2 linked regions of the Tribolium castaneum genome follow. The protein of the gene in region 1 binds, or shares a complex with, the protein of each later gene. Links are inferred from orthologs where the notes say so. Each region holds a gene or a part of one and is shown on either strand. Other genes may lie near its edges. The genes, in order: Uba3 and UbcE2M.

Evidence for each region.
Region 2: the proteins of Uba3 (region 1) and UbcE2M are in contact, whole or in part, in a crystal structure (PDB 2NVU), measured with the Homo sapiens proteins. The link is inferred for Tribolium castaneum from reciprocal best matches to the Homo sapiens genes UBA3 and UBE2M. Residues at the interface, in NP_003959.3 of Homo sapiens: His53, Pro54, Asp55, Glu61, Ser62, Phe65, Cys70, Gln149, Asn152, Asp153, Thr154, Arg157, Gln158, Phe159, His160, Ile170, Arg173, Trp174, Ser181, Leu182, Leu183, Asn184, Pro192, Ile195, Val196, Pro197, Leu214, Met217, Arg254, Met255; in NP_003960.1 of Homo sapiens: Lys3, Leu4, Phe5, Ser6, Leu7, Lys8, Gln9, Gln10, Lys11, Lys12, Glu15, Lys21, Gly22, Ser23, Ser24, Lys25, Lys26, Ala27, Gln31, Leu32, Gln35, Lys36, Ile38, Asn39, Glu40, Phe51, Ser52, Asp53, Pro54, Asp55.

The regions. Positions count from the first base shown.
Region 1 is NC_087400.1:1,388,719-1,393,302, forward strand, and holds Uba3 (nedd8-activating enzyme E1 catalytic subunit), read left to right. Parts: upstream 1-1,662; 5' UTR 1,663-1,781; coding exon 1,782-2,301; intron 2,302-3,348; coding exon 3,349-4,154; 3' UTR 4,155-4,192; downstream 4,193-4,584. Other genes in the region: coronin-2B, read right to left, coding at 1,334-1,441. UniProt on the Homo sapiens protein: Catalytic subunit of the dimeric UBA3-NAE1 E1 enzyme. E1 activates NEDD8 by first adenylating its C-terminal glycine residue with ATP, thereafter linking this residue to the side chain of the catalytic cysteine, yielding a NEDD8-UBA3 thioester and free AMP.
Region 2 is NC_087394.1:37,270,778-37,274,032, reverse strand, and holds UbcE2M (NEDD8-conjugating enzyme Ubc12), read left to right. Parts: upstream 1-1,553; 5' UTR 1,554-1,725; coding exon 1,726-1,831; intron 1,832-1,877; coding exon 1,878-1,972; intron 1,973-2,023; coding exon 2,024-2,371; 3' UTR 2,372-2,651; downstream 2,652-3,255. Other genes in the region: msk (importin-7), read right to left, coding at 2,987-3,051, 3,105-3,248.

The sequences.
Region 1 (4,584 bases):
TGAAGATAGAAATCTACTTTGAACGTGCTTTACCGTAACACCATTACTATCTACAAATTTATTGGTCTCGAGTCAGTTTTTTATACAAATCAGCAAATAAAAAAATAAAAAATATATTGACAATTTTTTTTTCAAAAATATATTTTTCGTTAAAATTTTAGTTCCATTATTAAAAACTTAATGCTTATTTTTCAAGCAATTAGTGATTTATAGTTAACTTTAATTCATTTAATACAAGGTGAGGTCAAAATTTTTAGAACAAAAAATCGAGTTATTTTCCATTGTTTCGCCTCCTAGTATATAGTTCTCCATAGTCCAAAATAATTATTAAAAATTGTAAACAATGATAAAAAAGTGTGAAATCATCTAAAATACGAGCAAATAACTACATTAATAAAAAAAAACTTCATTCATTTCAAATCAGAAGTTGGGTAATTTTGAAGATAGAAATCTACTTTGAACGTGCTTTACCGTAACACCATTACTATCTACAAATTTATTGGTCTCGAGTCAGTTTTTTATACAAATCAATAAATTTAATAAAATAAAAAATATATTGACAATTTTTTTTTCAAAAATATATTTTTCGTTAAAATTTTAGTTCCATTATTAAAAACTTAATGCTTATTTTTCAAGCAATTAGTGATTTATAGTTAACTTTAATTCATTTAATACAACGTGAGGTCAAAATTTTTAGAACAAAAAATCGAGTTATTTTCCATTGTTTCGCCTCCTAGTATATAGTTCTCCATAGTCCAAAATAATTATTAAAAATTGTAAACAATGATAAAAAAGTGTGAAATCATCTAAAATACGAGCAAATAACTACATTAATTATAAAAAACATCATTCATGTCAAATTAGAGGTTGGGTAATTTTGAAGATAGAAATCTACTTTGAACGTGCTTTACCGTAACACCATTGCTATCTACAAATTTATTGGTCTCGAGTCAGTTTTTTATACAAATCGATAAATTTAATAAAATAAAAAATATATTGACAATTGAACAAAAAAAAATTTTCAAAAATTAAAAGAATAAAAAAAGAGTAAAAAGATTTTTTCAGAAAAAAACGTGGTTTAATTTAAAAACACCGTTTTCGACCAAAAGGTGGATATTTGAAACGTTGACATTGCAAACGTCAAACAAGCCAGTGTGACCACAGGCCTGCCAACTCAAACAGTGACTCTTGACCACTCTGTATAACATAACGACAGTTTTCCATTTGTGATTAAATATTTACATTAAATAATCAATTTAATTACCTACCACACATGTAACACCTGATAACGTCCCAAAACCGGGCTAATAGTAGTAATTAAAAAAAATCTTACCCTTTTTGAGGGTTTGCTGCAAGAGCGGTTATCCACAAAATTAATTATTTTATCTCCGGTTGCTGGCAACAGAGAATTCCCAACATTGCTTTCCGTTTCTCCAGTCATAATAAATGAATTACATAAAAAACCCAACAATTTTGTACTGATTTTAAATAAAAAATTCAATAAAACAATAAATCACAACGTAACTTTTTTGACATTTGTTTGACAGCGATCAACGCGTTGTTACGTCACGAAGTGGCTAACGCTACGATCTTTAACTTATTTCCGACTATTTTATGGCATTGAGGAGAATAATAATTATAATTAGCACCAATTGCAGTGCATAATTAGTACGTAATTAAAATTCCTGCCTTTGTGCCTGGCTTTTTGCGTGAAATAACTAAACGAGTTGGCGCGTTAGTCACTTCCTTTCTGACAGTTCCAATTTTAAAAACGGTTAAAAATGAGCGAAACGCAAGAACAGAAGCGCTGGGGGCACCTGCGCAAGGTGCTGGAGCGTCCGGGCCCCTTTTGCCACCCGGAGTTCGAGCCGTCACCCGAAATCATGGATTTTATCGTAACCTCCTGCAAGGTGCTTGTCGTGGGGGCCGGGGGCCTGGGCTGCGAACTGTTGAAGGACTTGGCTTTGATGGGGTTCAAGCAGATCCACGTCATCGACATGGACACGATCGACTTGTCGAATTTGAACCGCCAGTTTCTGTTCAGACAGAAGGACATTGGGCAGTCCAAGGCCAAAGTGGCGGCGGCTTTCATCAACAAGCGCGTGCCTGGGTGCCAGGTGACGCCCCATTTTTGCAAAATACAAGACTACGATGAGAGTTTTTATCGGAGTTTTCACATTATGGTGTGCGGGTTGGACTCGATCGTGGCCAGGAGGTGGATTAATGGCATGATTTTGTCGCTCTTGAGCTACGAGGATGGGGTGCTGGATAATTCGACCATTATTCCATTGGTGGATGGAGGTTTGTGCCGAAACGTGGGGGCTGAGACAAAAAACGCGCCTTTTTTCGCAGATGGCGCTGTTTCAAAATATCAGCGCCTTCTTGTTTCAGACGCTAAAGTTATTTCTCTCACAAAAAATTGTGTTATTTTAGTTTTTTTTCCATTTTGATATTTTTATTGACATTTATCTTTATCTAACAAACTATTCGGAAATAAAATTACCGTTGGGGGCGCCACTGAGCTAGGTCGAAAACAGTAACCATAAATGGCGGGAAAATGTTTATTCGGATATTTTGAGCGTTGTACGAATTTTGGGGCTTCACAATTATTCCATTGCCTATGCGGAATGATTATTGCATCTTTGATGCAAGAAACTTATGTTGACAAATGAGAGATGACGAGGAAAACACGAATAACGAATGACTGTTTGGTTCACTTTCTTTATTGGAAAATTATTACAAAGACATTGAAAAACCTACCTTTTGGCATAATTTACGTTTAAATGTATCAGCAGTTGTTAATCTTTATTGTAGTTTTGTACATTTACTGCAGCATTTCATGATTTTTTCAGTGGAAAATTCTAATCTAAAATTCATAACACTTCACTAATTTATTGGTTTCTTGAGCCAAACTTTGTGTTCGCTGTGATTTATTACTTATAATCTTTAATTAGACAACTGTTTGATAACACTTTGTAATCAAAATTTAAATATTTTTCACTTTTTATCCACTTTCAAGTTCCAACAATAAACACTTTATACCATGAAAAACTACAGAACCAAAGTCAACGCTAGTATTTACCACCACGTACTTTTAAAGTAATTCTTTCTATTGTAAGTAATTAACACTATACACGCAAAATTGTTGAACAATTCATTAAATGTCAGTTAAATGTGGCATTACGAAAATTTCTTTACTGTCTTCGACATAGTTCAAAAGTCATCACCAGAGGGCGTCTAGTTAATTTTATTTCCGAATAATTCTTCTTGTTTACAGCGCCATCTGAACTGTGCTGTGGCGCCAAAATTTAAAAAAATATATATAATTGAGTAATAATTTATTTCCAGGTACTGAGGGTTTTAAGGGCAACGCCCGCGTCATAGTCCCTGGCAACAACGCCTGTGTTGAGTGCACCCTTGACTTGTACCCCCCTCAGATCACCTACCCTTTGTGCACAATCGCCAACACACCCCGCCTGCCTGAACACTGCATTGAATACGTAAAGGTGGTTTTGTGGCCCAAGGAGAACCCCTTTAATGCGCCCCTGGACGGAGACGACTCCCAGCACATTGGCTGGGTTTACGAAAAGTCCCTGGAAAGGGCGTCCCAGTTCAATATCCCTGGAGTGACTTACCGCCTTGTTCAAGGCGTCGTAAAGCACATTATTCCAGCAGTGGCGTCAACTAACGCCGTTATTGCCGGAGTTTGCGCCACAGAAGTGTTTAAAATCGCAACGAGTTGTTGTCTACCGTTGAATAATTACATGGTTTTCAATGACGTGGACGGGATTTACACTTACACTTACGCAGCGGAACGGAGGGACAATTGTGTGGTTTGCTCCCAAGTGCCGCAAACTCTACCGATTGAGGATCCGAGTAAAGTCAAGCTGAAGGATTTGATTAAAATCCTGTGTGAGGATGAGATGTTTCAAATGAAAAATCCAGGTTTAACCACGGTTATTGATGGGAAAAATAAGACTTTGTACATTTCCACGATTAAGAGTATAGAGGAGAGGACCAGGGATAATTTAAATAAGACTTTAGTTGAGTTGGGGCTTAAGGATGGCATGGATATCATGGTCGCAGATGCTACGTCTCCCATGACGTTGGTTTTCACACTTAAGTTTGCAACGAGCGATGTTGAGATGAAGTAATTGTGTTATTTATTTTTAATAAAGAAAATTACAAACTGGGTTTTGTTTCATTTTAACGGTTATTTTGGCCCTTGAAATGTTTATTGTTTGATTTTTTTAAGTTCTAACCACTCTATCAATTTTGATATTGAAAAAAACACTTTATATCTTTATATCTTTTTTTTGGTATTATTGCTTAAAATTTGGTCGGAATTTTGACTTAGGCCTTATTATAGCTTCGCCGTAATCGGCCGTAGGGCGTTTTTCTCAGAAAATATGACTCGGCGAAGATAAAAACCATCAGAATGAATAAATAAATATTAAAATTTAGTTTTTGCCGGGAGTTTCTCCACACAAGTTGGCCACCCCAAAAAAAAATTCCCCTGATCGGTGGCCACTTTTATAATTTTCCGCGGTTTGGTCCAAAATCGTGCATCACACCGTAGTCATA
Region 2 (3,255 bases), on another chromosome or scaffold:
AAATAAATCTTTGTAGCGTATCTTATCTACCCTAAAAACTCTAGACAGAGCAATACATTGAATACTTGTAAATACTGAGAAAAGTTAATAATTTTTTTGCGGTGCAAAAACTTGGAATACTCTGTATATAAATATTTAAGTAATTCCTGGAGAAAAAAATGGTTAAATACAAAAATTTGAATGTGCTATAGGAGATGTAAGTGAGTAGTAAGTTTTTAATTTATTTGAAGGTTAAATAATCTAGGAAAAAAACTGTTATTCTTTTATGCAAACTCATCGTGATTTACATTTACAATATGCTCCCAAATATTTTTTTACACCTCATAACAGCATGGAGAAAAATATCTACTTTGACTAAGTCTCATTTAATTCGTAATAATTGTTGTGATGGATCATCAAAAATTAAATGTAATGACTGGTGCTTTTTAAAAGGAACTGATGTGATATAATATTATTTGCAGATAATATGCAAGAATAATTGCACAATAATTTTTATTTAACACAATTTTTTTCCTAAAATTAGATATAGGATCAAACAAACAATATTAATAAACGAAAAATACAAGCTTTTTAAATTAATGAATTATTGATTGATAACTAGAAAAGCCATTTCTCTGAAGTCGTCTGTAAAATGGTTACATTACAGACCATATTTATTTGGGTTCAAAATAGTCTCTAGAGTGTCGTACTTTTCAAAGCTCATAAAATGTGATAACTGATGACGTGATGAGTGATGAGACTTTGTGTGAAATGACTGCATTTCCAATTTTTTTTAAGAAACTTGGAAAATTATCAATTCAGAAAAGCACTAAATTTGTTTTTTACACTCAGATGAGTCAGATGGTTATCTCCTCTGCTATCTATCACTTTAGACAACAAACCCCATATTCATGAAAACTCAATTTTAATTTAAATATTACAATATTTTAGGCAAAATGCTAAAATATTTTTTAATTAATAATTTCGTAAAAAAATTAAAATTGCTCAAACCGTCGCGTCGTCTGCGTTGATAGTTGAATGACAATTAACGAAGACGACGCGACGGCTCAAACCCGTGGCCCAAACTTTGCAAAAGTTGCTCTGCGCGTCAAAATGTAGTACCGTATAAAATTTCAATAACGATGCTTTAAAATATTAGGGTTGGATTTATATTAACAAATAAATTAGAAATGTGTACACTTACCTTTGAGTAACTGCAAACATTCGTTTCAATGTTCATCTGTGGTCTGGTGGTCAACAAACTAATACACAAACTAAAAACACAATAACGAACAGTTCTAAAACGCTCCTAAACCGAAATAATTCGTTTCACAGAATAATTTTACGAATTTCAACAACTCAAGACGCGAAAAATCCGCAGAGGATGACAAACGCACCAGTAGTACCAATGTAATAACAACGGCACGAAATAAATTAATTTAAATAGCTTTGAACATAGTCTTCTGATGGTCTGCTTTATTGATTTGGATCTTTTGATTAAGTGCTTTGCAGAAAAATTCTTAGCATTAGCAATAAATGAATTTTTTAAATTTTTTCATTAAGAATTCGTTCCGATGGTAAAGTAAATTCCTGCATGTCCCATTGACAGTTTTGACATTGACAGATGTGTGAAAAATTCTCTTGCAAAAAGCAATCGAATAAACTCGACTTTCCCATGTTTTTGTAAAGTGTGCTCGCAGTAAATTACATTGCTCTGACCCCTCACCACCCCTGCGCCAGCCAAATATGATAAAACTATTCTCGCTGAAGCAACAGAAAAAAGATGGAGAAGCCTCACCGCGACCAGGAAATCAAAAGAAAGCCTCTGCAGCCCAGTTGAGGATTACGAAAGGTTGGTTGTGAGTCATTGCGCCCCCATTTTGACCCTCCCTTTGCAGATATCAACGAGCTGAACCTGCCCAAGACCTGCACGACGGAGTTTCCCGATCCGGACGACTTGCTGTCTTTCAAACTGGTGATTTGTCCGGATGAGGTTAGTTGTGGATTAGTGTGTGGGGTTGTGGTTAATTGGGGGGACGTTTAGGGTTTCTACAAGACAGGGAGGTTCGTATTCAGTTTCAAAGTGGGCCCCAATTACCCGCATGAGCCCCCCAAAGTCAAATGCGAGACACAGGTCTACCACCCCAACATCGACCAACAGGGCAACGTGTGCTTGAACATTTTAAGGGAGGATTGGAAGCCCGTACTGACTATCAACAGTATCGTCTATGGACTGCAGTATTTGTTCCTTGAACCCAATCCAGAGGATCCTTTGAACAAGGAAGCGGCTGAAGTGCTCACGACCAACAGGCGGCTGTTTGAGCAGAACGTCCAGAAGGCGATGCGTGGAGGGTATGTTGGCAGTACTTATTTCGACCGCTGTCTCAAGTGATTCTTATGTGTAAAGAACTTATTTATAAGTTTACTGTTTTATGCTCGTTGACGAGGACACTCGAGTGATTCTTGCATACCTAATTACTAATTTCGTTTATTAAAGCTACCACTATGTTGTTTTATTTGGCTTTTTCATCTCAATCGTTCTATTGTGATCATCATATCTCACTCCAGCGTAAAGCACCACAAAGCGGTGTGTTGTAATTTCTCCTCAGTGAAATGTAACTGATTTAATTAAGAAAATAGATAATTTTTCATAATAAAAATCTACAAAAATTCGAAGCAATTCTTTATTAAAATGCAATAACTTAACACCTTTCAGTATATTATAGAAATAATGTAATTTACTACATTGTCTTTCCCTAAAGAAGAAAACAAATGAGACAAAAGAGACACAGTCGAAAAATAATTACAATTACACGGAAAATAAACTTCCATTTAAATCTATATTAGGTAAATTTAAATCGTTTACATCCGTTTTTTTTTTGTTTAATAAAAAGGCACTTAATAAAAATTAAAAAAGATTAAATTACCAACTGTACATCATTTCACTGGTCTTAACAGTCAATTTTACATTCAGTCACAAAAATTTTACACACCACGTCACATATATTCATGACGGTTTTGGAGCGCCAAACTTAAAAGTTGTGGGTACTTCATGTTGTGTAAACATAAAACCTGGACAAACAAAATTAATTTGTTATTCCCCCAACACTATCATATAATTTTACCTCCCGATTGTTCAATTCTTTTACTTTCTTTGGCTGCTTTCCTCTGATCCGCTAACACACAAATATCTACCAAATTCTTCTTTTGTTGTTCGGTTAAATTGGCCGTGAGGGCATTATACCATTCAGGCTGACAACGTTCCAATCCTTGAAA